Linked DNA regions of Macaca fascicularis. The protein of the gene in region 1 binds, or shares a complex with, the protein of each later gene. Links are inferred from orthologs where the notes say so. Each region holds a gene or a part of one and is shown in the gene's direction. Other genes may lie near its edges. The genes, in order: ODAD1, ODAD4, CLXN and ODAD3.

Region 1 (4,642 bases):
TTTGCCATGTTGGCCAGGCTGGTCTCAAACTCCTGACTTTAGGTGATCCACCCGCCTCGGTCTCCCAAAGTGCTGGGATTACAGGCGTGAGCCACCACACCTGGCCTCATCTTTCTTATTTTTCAGGAAGTAGCCATGCAGAGCACTCAGGAGTCAGGCTGTCCTGTTTTTTGTTTTTTGTTTTTTTGGGTTTTTTTTACATTTATTGTTAGCTTTTATTATTTATTTATTTATTTATTTATTTATTTATTTATTTATTTATTTATTTATTTGAGATGGAATCTCACTCTGTCAGCCAGGCTGGAGTGCAGTGGTGTGATCTCGGCTCACTGCAATGTCCGTCTCCTGGGTGCAAGCGATTCTCCTGCCTCTCGAGTGACTGGGATTACAGGCACGCACTACCATGCCCGGCTAGTTTTTTCGTATTTTTAGTAGAAACAGGGTTTCACCATGGTGGCCAGGCTGGTCTCAAACTCCTGATCTCAAATGATCTGCCTGCCTTGGCTTCCCAAAATGCTGGGATTACAGGCGTGAGCCACTGCACCCAGCCTGTCCTGGGTTTGAATCTCAGCTCCACCAATTATGAACCTTGGTGTGTGGCTTCCTCCTTGTGAGCCCCTCTGGGAATGGGGATGGCAGTGCCTTCTTTGCAGGGTTGTCATGAGAATTAGAAGGGATGACAGATGGAGAGAAAGGTGGGGGGTGGTGGGGAGCGATCTGGGGAGCCCCCTTGGGGCACACCGTAGGAGCTCAAATATGGGCAGGTCCCCCTTCCCGCTGTCGTGACGGCTGAGCCGAGCCCTGTGCTAGGTGATGTGGGCACGGTGGGGAGAGGCCCTGGAGGGGACTGACCTGAGCACTGGGCACTCATCACTCAGGGGCTAGGATGGAGGACACCCAGGCTCTGGGGGCGAGAGGAGGCCGTAACTCAGTCTGCAGTGCAAGACCATAATTTGTGGGGCCCAGTGCAGAATGAGGGGCCCCTTATTAAAAAATTGCCAAGATTTTCAAGATAGGAAGAGCAGCAGCGTGTCAAGCCAAGTGCAGGCCCCTCACCACCGTCTGGGTCTCACACTCACCAAGCCAGCTCTGCTGGGGTCACTGGGAAGGCTTCCTGGAGGCAGTGATACCTGAGGCTGATTTTGAAGGACAAGCCAGGGAGAGAGGGATGCACAGCAGTGCCCTCCCCCTGCCTGGCTGGCTGAGCTCGGGTGACTCCCTTTTGGTCTCTGAGCCTTGATCGCAGTCTCTGTAGAATGGGGCAGTGAGGACCTGAGTGGGGAGAGGGCTAGCACCCAGCTGGCGGTGCCAGATCCCTGACAGCTGGCCCTCCATGACGCAGACATCCAGCTCCTCTTCACCAAGGCCCATTGCGACGGCAGCATGATCGATGACCTCCTTGGGGTCAAGACCGGCATGGCGGACCGGGACATGGGCCTCTTCCTGAGCCTCATCGAGAAGCGGCTGGTGGAGCTCCTGACAGTGCAGGCCTTCCTGGATGCCCAGGTGGGAGGCGGCAGGGAGCCAGGACGGGAGGCAGGTCTCAGGGGTGGCCCAGCTGACCACAGGCTTCCACACCCTCCAGAGCTTCACCTCCCTGGCCGACGCCGCCCTCCTGGCACTGGGCCAGAGCCTGGAGGACCTTCCGAAGAAGATGGCCCCACTTCAGCCCCCTGACAATCTGTGAGGCGCAGGGCAGGAGGGACGCAGGGGGGACGGGGCTTCCATGGGGGCAGAGGGAACACACAGGATAGAGGGTTTTGGGGGGCTTTTGGGGACTGGCTGCTGGATGTGGCCCTGGGGGTTTAGAATATGAGGTGTGTGCTTTGAGGCAGCCAGAAGGAGTAGGGGCTTGGCACCTTTGTGTGGGAAGACGGGGCCCCGGGTACCCCAGAAGGGGAGGGCACTCAGGGCTGGTGGGAGAATGAGTGAGGTTCCTGGGGTTGAGCAGGAAGGGCCACTGGCCTTTTTGAGGGCTGGGAGTCTAGTCTTTTCCGGTTTTCCTTCCCCTCCCCAGAGAAGACCCCCCAGGTTTTGAGGCCAGCGATGACTACCCCATGAGCAGGGAGGAGCTGCTGAGCCAAGTGGAGAAGCTGGTGAGATTGGGGCCCTCGGGGGTGGGGCCAGGCCTCAGTGTGCGTCGGGGCCCAGCTCACCTTCCCTGCAGGTGCAGCTCCAGGAGCAGGCGGAGGCGCAGCGCCAGAAGGACCTGGCCGACGCCGACGCGAAGCTGGACGGCACCCTGAGCGCGGACCTGGCCAGCACCCAGAGGGCTGGCTCCAGTACCATCCTGGTGCCCACCAGGCAACCCCATACCATCCCCGGGTCCATCTTGAGCCACAAGACTAGCAGGGACCGTGGCTCTCTTGGCCGCGTCACTTTTGGTCCCCTCAAATCCAGCCTGGGGCATTTGCCCAGTCACGTCACGCACGGTGACCCCAACACTGGCCACGTGACCTTTGGCTCCACCAGTGCCTCGAGTGGGGGCCACGTGACCTTCAGACCTGTCAGCACCAGCAGCTACCTGGGCTCCACGGGATACGTGGGGTCCAGCAGGGGCGGAGAAAACACAGAGGGTGGTGTGGAGAGCGGAGGCACAGCGTCTGATTCCAGCGGAGGCCCCGGGTCCAGCAGAGGCCACGTCTCCAGCACCGGCCCTGCCTCCAGCACTGGCCCCGGCTCCTCCACCAGCAAAGACTCCCGGGGCTAACACGAGGGGCCTGCAGCCCCCACCCTGCCCTGGCTCTCTGTAGAGGTCTTTTTTTGTGTCTCTACTTCCCTGTTTGCCTTGTGGGTCCCTGTCTTTTTCTCCCAGTCCCAGGCCTCTGTCTTTTTGCCCCTCTTAACTGTTTTCATCTGCCCTTCATCACCGCCTCACCTCTGTCTCCTGGTTCCTTTCTCTCTGCTCCTGACCCTGCTTTTCCCTCTGCCTCCCGATCTCCTGTTCTCTCGGCTTCCCAGTCAGTGTCCGTCCTTCTTGTCTCCATATCTGCCCCTTCCCTGTCTGCTGAGCCCTGACCCCCTGTGGATTCCCCACCTTCTGTTGCTGGCTCTCTCTCCTCGTCTCCATCTCCCAGGCTCTGCATACATCCTGTGTCCCTCTCTCTGCAGCTCCTCACTCCCCAAGAGCCCTCTAGTGCTGACGGGCATGGGAAAAGTCAGGGCGAAGATGCCAGGTTCAGCATGGGAAAATGGGACTGTGGAAATAAAGCCTATGTGTGGAGAGCCGGCTTCAGGCATGGCTGCTTCCTCTACCTCCGGCCTGGGGGTCATCTGTGACCCTGTCCCGACTCCCTGCCATTCATTCATTCACTCACTCATTCAGCATTCTTATTTATTTATTGAGATGAAGTTTCCCTCTTGTTGCCCAGGCTGGAGTGCAGTGTCACGATCTCAGCTCACTGCAACCTCTGCCTCCCAGGTTCACGCCATTCTCCTGCCTCAGCCTCCCAAGTAGCTGGGATTACAGGTGCCCACCACCACGCCTGGCTAATTTTTGTATTTTTAGTAGAGATGGGGTTTCACCATGTTGGGCAGGCTGGTCTTGAACTCCTGACCTCAGGTGATCTGCCCACCTCAGCCTCCCAAAATGCTGGGATTACAGGCTTGAGCCACCACGCCGGGCCTATTCATCCATTTTTCTGAGACCTCTCCTGGAGCTGTGTTGGTCAGGGCAGTCACAGCTGCAGATTCTCCGTGGTCCTCAGGCAGCAGAGGTTTCTCTCCTTTGTGGGCCAGCCAAGCGCTGTCCTCCATATCACCCGTGTCCCCCAGGCCCATGGCACAGCCATCATCTGGAATGCTGCCAGTCCTTTGGCACAGGAAGAAGAGAGGATGGCACAGCAGGCAGTGACTTGCGAGGCTTGGACCTGATATGACACCTGTCTTCTTAGCTTACACTCAGCCAGAGTAGGTCCCCTGGTCACCCCGAACTTCACAGGGGCACCGGGAAGCGTAGTCTTTTCATGTGTCTGGAAGGAGAGAAAGGAAGGATTATTTATGGACAGCCCTAACTCCAGTCGCAGGGTCACAGAGAAAAAGCTGACCTTGACCCTTTCCTGCAGCGGGGGTGGGGGGGGGGGGTGGGGTGGGTGTAGGAGTGAGAGGGCTTAGAACGCCATGATAACTCTTTGCTGTAGTTGAGTCATGCCAAATTCCCTGTCAGCATTTAATCCGTTGGTGTCAAAGCTATATAAAAACTTAAAAAAAAATCAGGCTGGGCGTGGTGGCTCACGCCTGTAATCCCAGCACTTTGGGAGGCTGAGGTGGGTGGATCACTCGAGCCCAGGAGTTCAAGACCAGCCTGGTGAACATGTGAAACCCTGCCTCGACTGAAAATACAAAAATTAGCAGAGCATGGTGATGTGCACCTGTCTTCCAAACTACTCTGGAGGCTGAGGCATGAGAATTGCTTGAATCTGGGAAGCGGAGGTTGCAGTGAGCTGAGATCACAGTACTGCACTCCAGCCTGGGTAATAGAGTGAGACTGTCTCAAAAAAAAAAAAAAAAAAAGTTCAAATCCAAACAGATAATCCATCATCCGCCTTCCTAATCCAGGAATGTAGCACCCTGAGCCTCCCCTTAAAATGGCTTGATAATAGTACATCCTTTTTTGTGTGAGAATACAATGAATTTATACACA
Region 2 (5,100 bases), on another chromosome or scaffold:
AGATAGGATCTCGTTCTATCTCCCAGGCTGGAATGTGGTGGCACAATCACAGCTCAATACAGCCTCAAACTCCTGAGCTCAAGTGATCCTCCCACCTTAGTGTTCCAAGTAGCTGGAGCTACAGGCTTACACCACCATACCTGGCTATTTTGTTTTGTTTTGTTTTGTTTTGTTTTTTGTAGAGACAGGTGTTTTGCTATGTTGCCCTGGCTGGTATTGAACACCTGAGCTCAAGTAATACTCCCGCTTTGGCTTCACAAAGTGCTAGGATTACAGGTATGAGCTACAGTGCCCTAAAAAGATGTTTTTATGACCATTTCTTTTGCTCCAAATTGCCCACTTCTTATTCTAGATAGAGTGGTAGGATAACCCTTCAGTCTCAAGACTTCCTGTAAGATCAAGCTTCTCAACAGCTCCCCAGAGTTGTTTGTCCCTTTCAGTCACCAACCATACCCTAAAACCAGAAATGATGACCAGATAAGTGAACAATTGAGTTCAGAAGCCCTGTCCCCACTTATTCTCCTCCTGCTGGATCATGTCCCATCCTGAAGTACCCCGGCAGAGAAAAAGAACACCCTGAGGGAAGGGTAGCCTTGGATGAGACGTAGTCACTTTCCAGAAAGACAGTAGCTACTTCCTCTTCTTAGAAAAGTCATAAGGTCTTAGAAAGGGCTGGGTACCTGAGAGACAGAGGTTGCAGTGAGCCAAGATTGTGCCATTGCACTCTAGCCTGGGCAACAAGAGTGAAACTCCATCTCAAAAAAAAAGACCAGGTCAGGTGGCTCAGGCCTGTAATCCCAGCACTTTGGGAGGCCAAAGCAGGTGGATCACCTAAGGTCAGGTGTTCGAGACCAGCCTGGCTAACATGGTGAAACCCCGTTTCTACTAAAAATACAAAAAATAAACCAGGTGTGGTGGCGAGTGCCTATAATCCCAGCTACTCCGGAGGCTGAGGCAGGAGGATTGCTTGAACCCAGGAGGCTGAGGTTGCAGTGAGCCGAGATTGTGCCATTGCACTCCAGCTTTGGCAACAAGAGCGAAACTCCATCTCAAAAAAGAAAAAAGGGCCGGGCGCGGTGGCTCACGCCTGTAATCCCAGCACTTTGGGAGGCCGAGGCGGGCGGATCACAAGGTCAGGAGATCGAGACCACGGTGAAACCCCGTCTCTACTAAAAATACAAAAAAATTAGCCGGGCGCGGTTGTGGGCGCCTGTAGTCCCAGCTACTCGGGAGGCTGAGGCAGGAGAATGGCGTGAACCCGGGAGGCGGAGCTTGCAGTGAGCCGAGATCGCGCCATTGCACTCCAGCCTGGGCGACAGAGCGAGACTCCGTCTCAAAAAAAAAAAAAAAAAAAAAAGAAGAAAATTAGCCAGGCGTGATGGCAGGCGCCTGTAGTCCCAAGTATTCGGGAGGCTAAGGCAGGAGAATTGCTTCAACCTGGGACTCGGAAGTTGCAGTGAGCAGAGATCGTGCCACTGCACTCCAGGCTGAGTGACAGAGTGAGACTGTCTCAAAAAAGAAAAAGAGGGGTGGGTACAGTTAGATGCCTCAGGAAGGACAGTACACCACAGACTATGGTAATCATCTCACACAGAAGAGAGGGAAAATTTCCCTCAACCCCACTTTAGTGTCAAAATCACAGTTTCATTTTCCTGGCTTTTTTTTTTTGAGACAGCGTCTCACTGCATCACCCAGGCTGGAGTACAGTGGCATGATCTCAGCTCACTACAACCTCTGCCTCCCAGGTTCAAACGATTCTCTTGCCTCAGACTCCTGAGTAGCTGGGATTACAGGTGCTCACCACCACATCTGGCTAATTTTTGTGTTTTTAGTAGAAACGGGTTTCACCATGTTGGCCAGGCTGGTTTCGAACTCCTGACCTCATAATCCACCCGCCTCGGCCTCCCAAAGTTCTGGGATTACAGGTGTGAGCCGCTGCACCCGGCCTCTTTTTGTTTTGTTTTGTTTTTTGTTTTTTGTTTTTTGTTTTTTTTTTTTGAGACGGAGTCTCGCTGTGTCTCCCAGGCTGGAGTGCAGTGGCGTGATCTCGGCTCACTGCAAGCTCCGCCTCCCGGGTTCACGCCATTCTCCCGCCTCAGCCTCCCAAGTAGCTGAGACTACAGGCGCCCGCCACCACGCCCGGCTAGTTTTTTGTATTTTTAGTAGAGACGGGGTTTCACCATATTAGCCAGGATAGTCTCGATCTCCTGACCTCGTGATCCACCCGCCTCGGCCTCCCAAAGTGCTGGGATTACAGGCTTGAGCCACCGCGCCCGGCCTGTTTTGTTTTTTGAGACAGAGTCTCATTCTGTCACCCAGGCTGGAGTGCAGTGGTGTGATCATGGCTTACTGCAGCCTCGACCTCTCCAGGTTCAAGCAATCCTCCCATCTCAGCCTCCTGAGTAGCTGGGACTACAATCATGGACCACCACACCCAGCTAATTTTTTTGTATTTTGTAGAGACAGGGTTTTGCCATGGCAAAATCCTGTCTCAAACTCTTGGGCTCAAGCATTCCGTCCACCTCGACCTGCCAAAGTGCTCGTATTGGCCGGGTGTGGTGGCTCATGCCTGTAATCCCAGCATTTTGGGAGGCCAAGGCGGGCGGATCACAAGGTCAGGAGATCGAGACCATCCTGACTAACACAGTGAAACCCCGTCTCTACTGAAAATACAAAAAAATTAGCAGGGCGCAGTGGTGGGCGCCTGTAGTCCCAGCTACTTGGGAGGCTGAGGCTGGAGAATGGTGTGAACCCGGGAGGCGGAGCTTGCTTTTGGGCTCAAGCATTCCGTCCACCTCAACCTGCCAAAGTGCTCGTATTGGCCGGGCGTGGTGACTCACACCTGTAATCCCAGCACTTTGGGAGGCCAAGGCGGGCAGATCACAAGGTCAGGAGATCAAGACCATCCTGGCTAACACAGTGAAACCCCGTCTCTACTAAAAATACAAAAAAATTAGCCGGGCGTGGTGGTGGGCGCCTGTAGTCCCAGCTACTCGGGAGGCTGAGGCAGGAGAATGGCATGAACCCAGGAGGCGGAGCCTGCAGTTAGCTGAGATGGGGCCACTGCCCTCCAGCCTGGGTGACAGAGCTGAGACTCAAAAACAACAACAACAACAAATAAAGTGCTGGGATTACAGGCGTGAGCCACCACTCCCAGCCTTTTCCTGGCACTTTCATCGTAATTCCCGGGTATAGTGATTAGTTCTTGATTAGCTACATAAAAAGAGAAGGCTACTGGAATGGTTAACCCACATGGCAGATTGTCCTCAAGTCCACTTCAGAATGCTTAGCCTTTGAAATTTACTTTGAGTATGATGTGTTGCCATTTCGGGTTTGTGGTTGAGTTTGGTGTGCACAAAATACCCTATAGTTCTATTGCCTGAGGAGACTGGGGGGCTCTCAGACATTGGCAGAAAGTCAGCGTATCCACAGAGTAGCATATTCCCACTCTTCAGCCAGTGGTTTCCATCATAGCCATGATTTGACCTTGTTCAAGGTGAGCCATGTGCAGATAATCAAGTTGACTGAGTGCAGATCGGAGTTGTGCTGCTTAGGAGCCAGAGGCCTGTGTGCTGGCCTGAAGAATCCCCTTGAACCTCTGCAGGAGGGTTTGGGCTGCCCTTCCCACTGCAGCTTCTACCTTGCTCTTCATGCTGGCTGTCAACCTGACTGGTTTCTTTGTCAGGCTCTTTACCTTCAGGATGGAGACAAGAACTGCCTGGTTGCTCGCTCAAAGTGCTTCCTGAAGATGGGAGACTTGGAGAGATCCCTGGAGGATGCTGAGGCTTCGCTCCAGAGTGACCCAACTTTCTGTAAGGTGACTGCATGGGCGGGAGGACTCGATCCTGCTATTGCCTGCAGCAGCTGCGGGTTACAAGTAGTTGTAACAAGTAGTTGTTACAAGTAGAAGCAGCCAGACTGCCTAGTGTTTGATGCCGTTTTCTCTTCGTAGGTCATTGCCTAAGTCCCTGCCCCCTGTATTCCAACCTTGACCCTCAACCCAGGACCCTTCTGTTCCACCACATGTGAGTCCTATAAGGCCTTATCTGTTCACATTGATTTGATTTCCTCCCATTCCAGGGGATTTTACAAAAGGCTGAGACACTGTACACCATGGGAGACTTTGAGTTTGCCTTGGTATTCTATCATCGAGGCTACAAGCTGAGGCCTGATCGGGAATTCAAAGTTGGCATTCAGAAAGCCCAGGAAGCCATCAACAACTCAGTGGGAAGTGAGTGGCCACAGGGCCTATGCACTTATCCAGGAAGGTCCTTGGAATCCTTAGGTTTAGAGGAAGGCTGAGGTACAGCAGGTGAGCAGCCACCACCAGGCCTGCAGGGAGTCCCACACTTGGATTTGGCTGCTGCAGTGTTGTTGAGGATTAGTTGGGCGTGGTGGCCGGCGCCACCTGTCCGCCGGGAGGACCATTCCCTGACGAACACACTGATCTCTGAGCGCTGCAGCCTTGGGTTTTCCTAAAGGTCAGCTTAGAAGGGCTGTTTCGAAGTAGGCCTGTCTTTAGCCTGGTGTCAAAAGCTAGAACGCGGTCCTGAGCCCAGCCTTCTGTAGTCCCTGGCTTCCTCCCTCACCACACGTATACCAAGGGCTGGCCTTAGCCATCAGCATTAAGGCAGGGGTAGAAGGGAAGCAAGTGAGAACAAGTGAGAGCTTGCTCTGTGGGTGGCAGGGCCTGGAAATGGACAGTTTCCCCTGTACCCTTGGCCTCCCTTTGTCTGGAAATCTGGCTGCCATAGCCTTGGGCTAGTGGGGGCTGTTAGCTCCTAGGAGTTATACCAAACAGCCTGCACCATTTGCTTACTAGGCTGGCTTAAGGCCAGCTTTGCCACAGCCTCCACCATCCCCCTGCCAAAGGCAGCCATTTCCACCTAAAAATATGTTATAGATCATGCGTGGGGGTTCTGGCCGTGGGGGCCTGGCCGACCTGAGCTCCAGCTTCTTTCCTTGCAGGTCCTTCTTCCATTAAGCTGGAGAACAAAGGGGACCTCTCCTTCTTAAGCAAGCAGGCTGAGGTAAGGGCCCTGGTTCTGCGGTTGTATCCCTCCAAGGGAAGAGGTTGTGTGTGCCTGAGAAGGGGTCTTG
Region 3 (5,740 bases), on another chromosome or scaffold:
AACTAATTCGCTCAGCTGTAGCAAGCACCCAGTGTGTGCGATCTCCCCAGGCCCCCAGAAATAACCACCAATGTGCTCACCAGCAGCGCAGGCCTGCTCCCCAACACAGGCCTAGTACATCAGACAGGGAGCCCACAGTGCCTCTTAGTAATTACTGACAACCACTCTTTCAGTACCTTGTCTCTTGAAGTGAGCAGTGCAGCAATCTCTAGGAATTAAGTATTTGCTACAGCTCTGTGATCTAACAGAAATCAATAAGGTGTCACAGGTAAGTATAATTCAAATATGTCCAGTCTTTCCCTTTTGTTCTCTATGGTTTCAGGAATTTCACTCTTCTAGACAAGGGGATATGTAGAAACACTATTTAAAAAGGCTACTGTTACAAATTCATAATCACCATCAATTCATATCAGGTAGCTGTTGTTAGGTCATTTGCTTTAGGATAAAATACAGTCCATGCCTTTACCAAGCACCCTTTGCTCTAGTTTCAGACAGCATCCCAATCCTTCATTCCAAAAACAAATGAAACAGTAAAGAGAAACCAGAGGCCCTGACATTGGAATTATTTCATTTGGGATTATTATTCATGGTTAGTAGAATTTTTCTGCTTCAGTCTAAAAATGCCAGTATGTGTACAATAACATAGTTTGTCATTTTCCCCTCTGAAGTTAAACAAGCAGGCACTCTGGAGAATACTGTAGATTTGGTGCTCCTGGCTGAGCCACCCCTTTTTGTTGCTGCCTTAGCTGAAAGGGAGGTATCCCCTCTGTGGTCAGGAAAAGCAGAAAGTCCTCCCACACTGAAGATGTAAGGACTATCCTTTGTCTGCAGACACAGAACCTGTCTTTCAAATAAGTCAAGGACCAAGGTTACTGAGATATTTTCCAGAAAAGCAAGATTGGGCTGTATCCCACACCCAAGTGGTAGTTGTCAGCCCCTGTTTTCATTGGGGGGAATGCCTATTTAAGCAGTATAAAAATTCCTAGTGACTTTATTCAGATTCCACAGACAACTTCCACCTTTTGAGAGTGAGATGAGGGCAGTGGGAAAAGAAAAAAAAACTACAGTCACAAGCCACATAGCGCCATTTAAGTCAATGTCAGACAACATTAGGACAGTGGTCCCATAAGATATAACACTGTACTGGAACACTGCTCCTTCCCCAGAGTGCTTAGCACTCTGTCCTAGCTGCCTGCAGCATTCCGCGCAGTGACCTGCTGTGCAGGTGTGCAGCCCAGAAGCAATGGGCTGTACCATACAGCCCGGCGTGCAGTAGGCGAGGCCATCTAGGTTTGTGTCGGTGCACCGTGATGTGCACACACTGATGAAATCTCCTCGTGACCTCAGAACGCATCTCCATCCTTAGACAACCCGTGGCTGTATTCCAATTTCCCCTTGCTCTCAGAAACACAACTAAAAGCTTGAAGACCTCAGGTGACAAACTGCCTCCTGTTACCGCACCAAGACTGACAGCCTAAGCGTGGCTCCGCCCAAAGAGCAAGCTCCTCGCCCTACGACAGGAGGCCCGGCGAGACAGTCCTCTGGACAGCACCCTTGCTGTTTTGTGACGCTGCTCCAGCCCCCAGGATGTCCAAGATCTTAGGCTTCCCTTTGACGCGTGACGCTCACCACCCGAAACACCTCTCATACAGCGTACACACCACATTTCAGATTTTAATCATTTACACTGCAATCAAGCAAAAAGGTTGCGAACTCAAAAGCCAGCAACAACTGAACATTTAAACTCCAACGTCCACAATCAGAATACAGCCCTCAAGGCGGCCAGCTGGGACCCTGCAGGCAGCACCGCGCACGCAGGACCTAGCGCACGCCGCCGTTGAGCCGATGGGCGGAGCTCAGTTGTTGCCATGGCCACGTCGCGGGCAGCCTGGGAGCCAATCCGCGGCGGATCGAGCCGTTGCCTTGGCTACACCGTCTGTTAGGGCAGCGCACGCTATCAGTGACTGAGACCTCACCGCGTTGCCCCAGCACCAGGGCTCGCGGGGGTCCCGGGAGAGTCTCGGCAGCCGTGCGCCCCGAGACCCCCGCCGCGGCCCCATTCTCTGAGGGCCAGGCATGAACCGCAAGAAGCTGCAGAAGCTGACAGACACCTTAGCTAAAAATTGCAAGCATTGTAAGTAAGAATCTAGTGCTGGACAAGTCGAGGCTCCTGGACCGAACCTGGGTCCCACCCGGTGCCAGGGTCCGCTGTTCTGCCTGCTTCCGGCCTCCTGGGCTTGTGTGGGCTACCTACCGCCCCTCCACTCCGGCCCCTTAGGCGTAAGTCAGTGGGTGAATCCCCGGGGTGCTAGCTCCTTGGGTTTGATCTTAGGAACCCAGGCCTCCACCTCTAGTGCTACCTACACTCCCACACATGCATTTACTTGCTTCTCCAAGCCTCTTATTTTACCTGATAGAAACGTGATGTTAGCCTCAGTGAGGTGTAAAATAAATGCTAAAACCCACTGGTCTCAAGAAAAGTACCACCACCAACGTGCACTCACCCTGCTTTCTAGCTCGCATATACACTCGCAGGTACAAGTTCTGGAAGCTTACCAAGAGACCCATAGGAGAAAACGGTGCTCAACTTCTCAACATCTTTAGGAGATGTTAGTTGTGTCATCTCATCTGTGCCTCAGAACAAGATTTGTTTGGAAAACAGAGTTCAGCACAACTAAACACGCGGAAAAGAATGGATTCCCAACTTTAGACTCCCACTTTCCTGTGGCCCCTAGTGTTGAAAGATAAAGGAGACTTTGCAGGTGACAAGATGAGCCCTATTTGAAGGCACCTGCTCTAATCTCGCATTTGAAAGGGTGGTACTGGAATTTCATAGGAAACTTTGAGTTTATATTCAGACTGAAAAACATAATTGCACTTGAGCAAGGAAACCGTGGGTATGGTTTAGATGAGGAAGATATTGCCTGTCGAGCAAACTTAGAAGTTGTGTGTTCATTGCAAATCTACTGGTCACTTGAAGAAACAGAAGCAACAATTCCCCAAATATCTGCATTGCTCAAAGAAGAAGGAATAAACGTGTTGATGTAGTTTTAGAGATCATAAGATCTAGTGCATTCTAATTATCATTAGTGTCTGATTTAATACCTGGTAAGAAATGCTCTCTTAGTGGGATGGTGACGTAAATGAATGTTATGGTATGTGTAAGCATCTTAAAATGTCTAGGAAAAAAAATCCTGTAATTTAAGGTATTATTATGACTACTATACTCTGATGAGAGTTTTGTTCTGTTATTGTTTTTCTTAAAACACTTTCATTTCTGGGAGAAGAATAGGTATTCTTCTAGTAAACATCTAGTAAACATTTTTGATAAATATTCAAAAACAATGCAATAGCTGCTATACACAATACTGATTTTGTCCCTTTCCATAAGTTTGAATTTGAGTTAGTCTCTGTTCAGTAAGTTTGAATGCATTGCAAACAATCATTCTGTAAACAATCAAAAGGTGAGTGTATATTTTTAAAGATAATTAAAAATATGGCAGGAAAAAGTCTACTCTTGATTTTTTTATTTACTAAAAAAATTTTAATGAGTCTTACAAACTTAGATGATTATTACAGTCTATAGAAATAGTTATAAGTCATGGGTATTATAATAATTTTAAATTTTCTTTAACAGAAGGAACTTTCCCCTAAAGTTAAATTTTGTTTTAGTTGCAAGACAATAAAACTATCAAGAGTCAATGGATAAATTTTGTAGAATCAAAGAAGAGTGAAAGATCTTAAGAGAGCATCTAGTTCATGCACCATTCTACAGATATGTTCTGCAGGACACATTTAGAGCATTCCAAGAAGATGAAAATCTGTTCTTGAATTTTCTTCAGTTTCATTTAATATTGTATTCTAGAATTTAAGAAATGTTTAGCAATAAAAGTTTTCTTATGGCTAACCTTTGATCCTTTGGGTAATAAATTAAACTAACTTTTTAAAATTTTTATTTCAGCTGAGATGGAAAAATGGCTAACCAACATCCCCTCTACTACCATTTTATATACATGAACAGAGTACATCATTCTTCATGCAGGTTTTTCTTCCCCAACCACTAATAGCTCTTGCTTTTTAAGAGGTTTGTGTGTGTGTATATGCGGTTACATGTAACATGAAATTTACTATTTTAACCATTTTAAGTGCTTACATCCTCCTCCAGAACTTTTTCATCGTCCCCAGTGGAAACTCTACCCATTAAATATTAACTCACCATTCCCTCCTCATCCTAGCCCCTGGCAACTACCATTTTACTTTGTCTCTATAAATCTGACTAAGTACCTCATATATGAGGAATCATACAATATGTGTCCTTTCGTGCCTGGCTTATTTGACTTAGTGCAATGTCCATAAATGTTCATCTATGTGTCAGAATTTTCTTCCTTTTTAAGACTGAATAATACTTCGTTGTATGAATACGCCACATTTTGTCTATCCATTCCTCCATTGATGGACTCTTGCATCTGTCTTTTGACTGTTGTGAATAATGACACTATGAACATTGTTGTGCAGGTTCCTGCTTTCAGTTCTTCTGAGTATGTATTTAGAAGTAGAGTTCCTGGATCATACGATAATTGTGTTTAATTTTTATGAAGCGCCATCATACTGCTTTCCAGTGACTAACAGCTGTTTTTAAAATCATAACCATTATATTGTTTCCTACTGTTTATTTGCTGAATCTTTTTTCCCAAAGTTTTTAGTGTTTCTCTTTAAATGTGGTTCTCCAAACCAGATATCTCACAAAAGCCTGTACTGACCTCTAGGATGAGGTGTGATTTTTCCATTCCTAGATGCTGTCTTCTGTTATACACATGCAGGTTTTGTCCTTGTTTGTTAAAATGCTCAATCATAGTTTTGTCTGGTTTCTAAATAAATTTTCCCCAACTTCCTCCCATACTTGGTATTTGGGCTTTTATATTATCAAGACCAGGCAATAACCCTTCCACCTACATTCTCAAATGGGGATTGGAACACAAATAATTAACTCGGTATTTATAACCATGGTCCTTTATACAATAATGTGTATGAGCAAGTATCTGTGTGTGTATATATCCTTTAAATAAAAATGTCCTTCCTCCAAACTATTACTGAATACTTGCATGTCAATTTTTACATAATCCTCAAGAAGAGCCATATTGGGTGCTAAAATATGCTTTAAAGCTTTTTATTGGAAAACTGGTGACTCTAGTTTCCAAAATCTGGCTTATGAATTCATGAAGCCTAAAGTGAAATGAAAATCGTTACCTAGTTCTCATGAACCTGACATCTATTTCCAGGGAAAAGAAGTTGTAAATCTCATGAATGCCATAGTAAAAATATTGAGAAAAAGTTACCATTTTTTAATCTTACCATTCTTATTTTGAGTCATATATCTACCAGCCTTGTAGAGTTTAGAATCTGACACCACTATCATTATTCCAGTAACTTGGCTAACATTTTCATATCTTTTCCCTAAACATGAGAATTCCTGTTTGGAGGGTATGCTACTTCTTTAATTTCTATTAAGTTAAGGGTCATTAATCTCAAAACAGGAGAGTCTTCTATTGACAATTACCTATTTGATGTCTTTGATGTTGTTTGTCTGTAAACTTATTGCAAAATTTAAGTTAGAACTTAAAGATTAAAGATTCACTTTTGTTATATCTATTTTATTCTTTCAGTTAATAAATTTGAAGTGAACTGTCTTATAAAGCTTTTTTATAGCTTGGTGGGAGCAGTAGAGAGGCAAGGTCTGGTT
Region 4 (5,100 bases), about 44 Mb from region 1:
CCTGAGGTTGGGCGTTCGAGACCAGCCTGGTCAACATAGCAAAACCCCGTCTCTATTAAAAATACAAAAAATTAGCTGGGCATGGTGGTGCATGCCTGTAATCCCAGCTACTCGGGAGGCTGAGGCAGGAGAATCACTTGAACCCAGGAGGTGGAGGTTGTGGTGAGCCGAGATCATCCACTGCACTCCAGCCTGGGCCACAGGACCAAAACTCTGTCTCAAAATAAATAAATAAATAAATAATAAAAAATAAAACACAGTCTAGGCATGGTGGCTCATGCCTGTAATGCCAGTGCTTTGGGAGGCCAAGGCTGGAGGATTGCTTGAGCCCAAGAGTTCGAGACCAGCCTGGCAACATAGTGAAACTTTGACTCTACAACAAATACAAAAGATTAGCCAAATGTGGTGGCGCAGGACTCTAGTCCCAGCTACTCGCCAGGCTAAGGTGGGAGGATCATTTGAACTGGGGAGGTCGAGGCTGCAGTGAGTCATGTTCGTGCCACTGCACTCCGGTCTGGGTGACAAAGCAAGGCCTTGTCTCAAAAAATAATTTTTTTTTTTTTTTTTTTTAATTTGAGACGGAGTCTCGCTCTGTCGCCCAGGCTGGAGTGCAGTGGCCGGATCTCAGCTCACTGCAAGCTCCGCCTCCCGGGTTTATGCCATTCTCCTGCCTCAGCCTCCGGAGTAACTGGGACTACAGGTGCCCACCACCTCGCCTGGCTAGATTTTTGTATTTTTTAGTAGAGACGGGGTTTCACCGTGTTAGTCAGGATGGTCTCGATCTCCTGACCTCGTGATCCGCCCGTCTCGGCCTCCCAAAGTACTGGGATTACAGGCTTGAGCCACCGCGCCTGGCCTCAAAAAATAATTTTTTTTTTTTTTTTTTTTGAGACAGAGTCTCGCTCTGTAGCCCAGGCTGAAGTGCAGTGGCCGGATCGCAGCTCACTGCAAGCTCCGCCTCCCGGGTTTACGCCATTCTCCTGCCTCAGCCTCCCGAGTAGCTGGGATTACAGGCGCCCGCCACCTCGCCCGGCTAAGTTTTTTCGTATTTTTTAGTAGAGACGGGGTTTCACCGTGTTAGCCAGGATGGTCTTGATCTCCTGACCTCGTGATCCGCCCGTCTCGGCCTCCCAAAGTACTGGGATTACAGGCTTGAGCCACCGCGCCTGGCCTCAAAAAATAATTTTTAAAATTAAAAGGCTGGGCATGGTGGCTCACGCCTGTAATCCCAGCACTTTGGGAGGCCGAAGTGGGTGGACCACTTGAGCTCAGAATTTCATGACCAATCTGGGCAACATGATGAAACCCTGTCTCTACCAAAACTACAAAAACGTAGCCAGGCGTTGTGGCATGTGTCTGTGGTCCCAGCTACTGAGGATGCTGAGGAAGAAGGATCACTTTAGCTCAAGGGGCAGAGGTTGCAGTGAGCCAAGATCGAGTCACTGTACTCCAGCCTGAGTGACAGGGTAAGACCCCATCTCAAAAAACAAAACAAAATAAAACTGGGCTGGGTACAGTGGCTCATGCGTGTAGTCTCAGCACTTTGGGAGGCCCAGGAAGGAGGATGGTTTGGGCCCAGGAATTCGACACCAGCCTGGGCAACATAGCGAGACCCTGCCTGTATAAATTTTTTTGTTTGTTTTTTGGTTTTTTTTGAGACGGAGTCTCACTCTGTCGCCCAGGCTGGAGTGCAGGTGCATGATCTCGGCTCACTGCAAGCTCCCCCGCCAGGTTCACACCATTCTCCTGCCTCAGCCTCCCAAGTAGCTGGGACTACAGGTGCCCGCCACCACGCCTGGCTAATTTTTTGTATTTTTAGTAGAGATCTGGTTTCACCATGTTACCCAGGATGTTCTCGATCTCCTGACCTCATGATCTGCCTGCCTTGACCTCCCAAGGTCCTGGGATTACAGGTGTTAGCCACCGCGCCTAGCCTAAACAATTTTTTTAAAAGAAAAAAATGGCCAGAAGTCAGCCGGGTGAGGTGGCTCACGTCTGTAATCCCAGCACTTTGGGAGGCCGAGGCAGTTGGATCACCTGAAGTCAGGCATTCGAGACCAGCCTGGCCAACATGGTGAAACCCTGTCTCTACCCAAAATACAAAAATTAGCCGGGTGTGGTGGCACATGCCTGTAATCCCAGCTACTTGGGAGGCTGAGACAGGAGAATTGCTTCAACCTGGGAGACGGAGGTTGCAGTGAGCCAAGATCGTGCCAGTACACTTCAGCCTGGGCAACAGAGCGAAACTTCTTTTCAAAACAAAACAAAACAAAACAAAAATTAGCCAGGTGTGCTGGTGGGAGCCTGTAATCTCAGCTACTTGGGAGGCTGAGGAGGAGAATGGCGTGAACCCAGGAGGAGGAGGTTGCAGTGTGCCGAGATTGCCCCACAGTACTCCAGCCTGGGCGACAGAGCAAGACTTCATCAAAAAGAAAAAAGAAAAGAAAAGAGAAAAAAATTTTTGTTTTAAATTTGTAGAACCCTGAGCCGATGTAAGATCACCAAGGTGGTGGATATAGACAGAGAGAAGACCCTGGTGCTCTCTCTCCAAAAACAGCACAGAAGGGGTGGCCAGGGAGGTGGGTAGAAAACGGGAGAGGGGAGTCCTGGAAGATATGGGAGAAGGAAGGGAAGAAGGGCTAGATGTGTGTCGGGGTAGGGTGTTCAGGCCCCTGCTTTCGCTCCCCTCCTTGCAGCAGGCCCTGGAGCACCTAGACCACCGGCTGAGGGAGAAGGTGAAGCAGCAGAACGCCCTGCGTTACCAGGTGGTGTTGCGGAAGAGGCGGCTGGAGGAGCTCCAGCTGCAGCACAGCCTGCGCCTTCTGGAGATGGCGGAGGCGCAAGACAGCCACACGGAGGTGGCCAAGGTAGGGGCGGGTGAGGCCTGCAGGGCAGAGGGTCGTGTGGGAGGGACTGAGTGCGGAGGGCCCTCAGCCCAGCCCTGCTGCTCTCCAGACCATGCGGAACCTGGAGAACCGCCTGGAGAAGGCCCGGATGAAGGCGCAGGAGGCCGAGCACATTACCAGCGTGTACCTGCAGCTCAAGGCCTATCTAATGGTAGGGACTTGGAGGGCTCGGGTGAGATGGCAAGCAGGGAGGGCGGGCTTAGCCAGGGACAACAGTCACAGGCCTGCCCCATCTTCCCAACCGCTCCCCATCACGCCCCAGGACGAGAGTCTTAACTTGGAGAACCGGCTGGACTCCATGGAGGCTGAGGTGGTGAGGACCAAACATGAACTGGAAGCACTGCACTTGGTGAACCAAGAGGCCCTCAATGCTCGGGACATTGCCAAGGTGCCACCCCTCTTGCTCTCAGCCATCCTGCCCAGATGCCGCGGTCTCCCAGCTTGAGAATCTGACCTCAGCTGTCCCTGAGCTTCCCCAACGCCCCCGCCCCCATCTATCTCCCAGCACCCTGCGGCGGGCAGCGATAGGTGCCAGCTGGTCTCCCTGCTCCCCTGCCTGCCCTCCAGAACCAGCTGCAGTACCTGGAGGAGACCTTGGTTCGAGAGCGCAAGAAGCGAGAACGCTACATAAGTGAGTGCAAGAAGCGTGCCGAGGAGAAGAAACTGGAGAACGAGCGCATGGAGCGCAAGGTGGGCGCACCCAGGGGTGCGCGCCTGTGACTCCAGCCCTGCCGGGCACAAACCAGCCATGCCCTGGCTCTACCTCATCCTAGGCCTTCTCCCGCTTCCTAAGGTTCTCCTAACTCCGCCCCCTCTCTGACTTCACCCCCATTTAGTGCAAAGACTCCTCCCACATCTCTGACCCCGCCTCTCCTCCCCTCCCCTCCTACGCGACAGCACCATTTTGGCTCTGACATGGCCTCCAGCCTTCCCCTTGCTCAGTGACTCCTACCCATCCTTTCCCAACTGACTAGACTGCCTGTCCTAAATCTGACCCTGCCTCTAACCCAACCCTTGCTTAAGGCTCCGCCCCCTCACTCTTGGCCCCGCCCCTGCACCTGCCCTGAGGCTGCCACTCATCCAGCCCTCACCAAGGTATTTTTTTTTTTTTTTTGAGACGGAGTCTCGCTCTGTCTCCCAGGCTGGAGTGCGGTGGCGCGATGTCGGCTCACTGCAAGCTCCGTTTCCCGGGTTCACGCCGTTCTCCTGCCTCAGCCTTCCCAGCAGCTGGGATTACAGGCGCCCGCCACCACGCCAGGCTAATTTTTTTTGTATTTTTAGTAGAGACGGGGTTTCACCGTGTTAGCCAGGATGATCTCGATTTCCTGACCTTGTGATCCGCCCGCCTTGGCCTCTTAAAGTGCTGGGATTACAGGCGTGAGCCACCGCGCCCGGCCAAGGGTTTTTTGTATTTTTTTTTTTTTTTTTTGGTAGTTTTTTCTGTGTGTGTGTGTGCGTATATATATATATTTTTAGACAGGGTCTCACTCTGTCGCTCAGACTAATTATAGCTTACTGCAGCCTTGAGCTCAAGCGATCCTCTCACCTCGGCCTCCCAAGTAGCTGGGACTACAGGCGCCCTACCACGCCCTGCTAATTTTTGCATTTTTTGTAGAGATGGGGTTTCGCCATGTTGCCCAAGCTGGTCGCGAACCCCTGGGCTCAAACGATCCTCCGGCCTCAGCCTCCTAAAGTACTGGAATGAAAGGCGTGAATCACAGCCACCACCACCCGCGCTCGACCTTGTCCCACTTTCTGCCCGGGTGCCTTTATCTGGCCCCAAGCTTTTGCGCTCTCCCTTCTCTCCAGTTTGAGCCCTGTTCCCTCCTGGGCCCCAGTCTGGATCCCCCTCCCCGGCCTCCGCCCTAAGCGCTGTCCACGGGCTGACCCTGGCTCTGACCTCAACCCACGAGCAGACGCACCGTGAGCACCTACTGCTACAGTCTGAGGACACCACCCAGGACAGCCTGCATGCCAAGGAGGAGGAGCTGCAGCAGCGCTGGAGCATGTACCAGATGGAGGTGATCTTTGGCAAGGTCAAGGACGCCACTGGCACTGCCGAGACGCACGTGAGTTCTGCCCGCAGCCCTCTCCGCCCTGCCCCGTCCACCCCAGATGGGCCCCAGGGGTGCCCAGGCTGGTGAAACCGGCACACCCTGCCTCCCCTCTCTGCCAGGTCAGTTCTTCAGCTCAC

The links.
Region 2: ODAD1 (region 1) and ODAD4 share a complex: the UniProt entries of both Homo sapiens proteins name them as parts of the outer dynein arm-docking complex. The link is inferred for Macaca fascicularis from reciprocal best matches to the Homo sapiens genes ODAD1 and ODAD4.
Region 3: ODAD1 (region 1) and CLXN share a complex: the UniProt entries of both Homo sapiens proteins name them as parts of the outer dynein arm-docking complex. The link is inferred for Macaca fascicularis from reciprocal best matches to the Homo sapiens genes ODAD1 and CLXN.
Region 4: the proteins of ODAD1 (region 1) and ODAD3 are in contact, whole or in part, in a cryo-EM structure (PDB 9CPB), measured with the Bos taurus proteins. The link is inferred for Macaca fascicularis from reciprocal best matches to the Homo sapiens genes ODAD1 and ODAD3. Residues at the interface, in XP_024834988.1 of Bos taurus: Leu31, Gln32, Gln34, Cys35, Met38, Glu41, Arg42, Tyr45, Val49, Arg52, Ile53, Gln56, Leu57, Glu59, Ile60, Leu63, Glu64, Val66, Arg67, Leu70, Arg71, Gln73, Ile74, Ala77, Gln78, Asp86, Arg89, Leu90, Ser92, Met93; in NP_001095517.1 of Bos taurus: Gln69, Leu73, Lys76, Ile77, Leu79, Leu80, Asp83, Arg84, Phe87, Tyr88, Thr91, Asn94, Ile95, Asn98, Gln99, Thr101, Ile102, Leu105, Arg106, Glu108, Thr109, Leu112, Gln113, Gln115, Leu116, Leu119, Gly122, Asp123, Val126, Ala129.

The regions. Positions count from the first base shown.
Region 1 is NC_088393.1:56,283,288-56,287,929, reverse strand, and holds the end of ODAD1 (outer dynein arm-docking complex subunit 1), read left to right. Parts: intron 1-1,342; coding exon 1,343-1,506; intron 1,507-1,585; coding exon 1,586-1,683; intron 1,684-2,017; coding exon 2,018-2,096; intron 2,097-2,167; coding exon 2,168-2,710; 3' UTR 2,711-3,225; downstream 3,226-4,642. UniProt on the Homo sapiens protein: Component of the outer dynein arm-docking complex (ODA-DC) that mediates outer dynein arms (ODA) binding onto the doublet microtubule. Involved in mediating assembly of both ODAs and their axonemal docking complex onto ciliary microtubules.
Region 2 is NC_088390.1:62,973,420-62,978,519, forward strand, and holds part of ODAD4 (outer dynein arm-docking complex subunit 4), read left to right. Parts: intron 1-3,685; coding exon 3,686-3,817; intron 3,818-3,952; exon of another isoform or gene 3,953-4,025; intron 4,026-4,080; coding exon 4,081-4,231; intron 4,232-4,968; coding exon 4,969-5,030; intron 5,031-5,100. UniProt on the Homo sapiens protein: Component of the outer dynein arm-docking complex (ODA-DC) that mediates outer dynein arms (ODA) binding onto the doublet microtubule. Plays an essential role for the assembly of ODA-DC and for the docking of ODA in ciliary axoneme.
Region 3 is NC_088382.1:58,624,162-58,629,901, reverse strand, and holds the start of CLXN (calaxin), read left to right. Parts: upstream 1-1,966; 5' UTR 1,967-2,076; coding exon 2,077-2,134; exon of another isoform or gene 2,135-2,280; intron 2,281-5,663; coding exon 5,664-5,740. UniProt on the Homo sapiens protein: Component of the outer dynein arm-docking complex (ODA-DC) that mediates outer dynein arms (ODA) binding onto the doublet microtubule. Seems to regulate the assembly of both ODAs and their axonemal docking complex onto ciliary microtubules.
Region 4 is NC_088393.1:11,991,057-11,996,156, reverse strand, and holds part of ODAD3 (outer dynein arm-docking complex subunit 3), read left to right. Parts: intron 1-2,696; coding exon 2,697-2,867; intron 2,868-2,955; coding exon 2,956-3,057; intron 3,058-3,168; coding exon 3,169-3,294; intron 3,295-3,473; coding exon 3,474-3,596; intron 3,597-4,822; coding exon 4,823-4,975; exon of another isoform or gene 4,976-5,082; intron 5,083-5,100. UniProt on the Homo sapiens protein: Component of the outer dynein arm-docking complex (ODA-DC) that mediates outer dynein arms (ODA) binding onto the doublet microtubule. Involved in mediating assembly of both ODAs and their axonemal docking complex onto ciliary microtubules.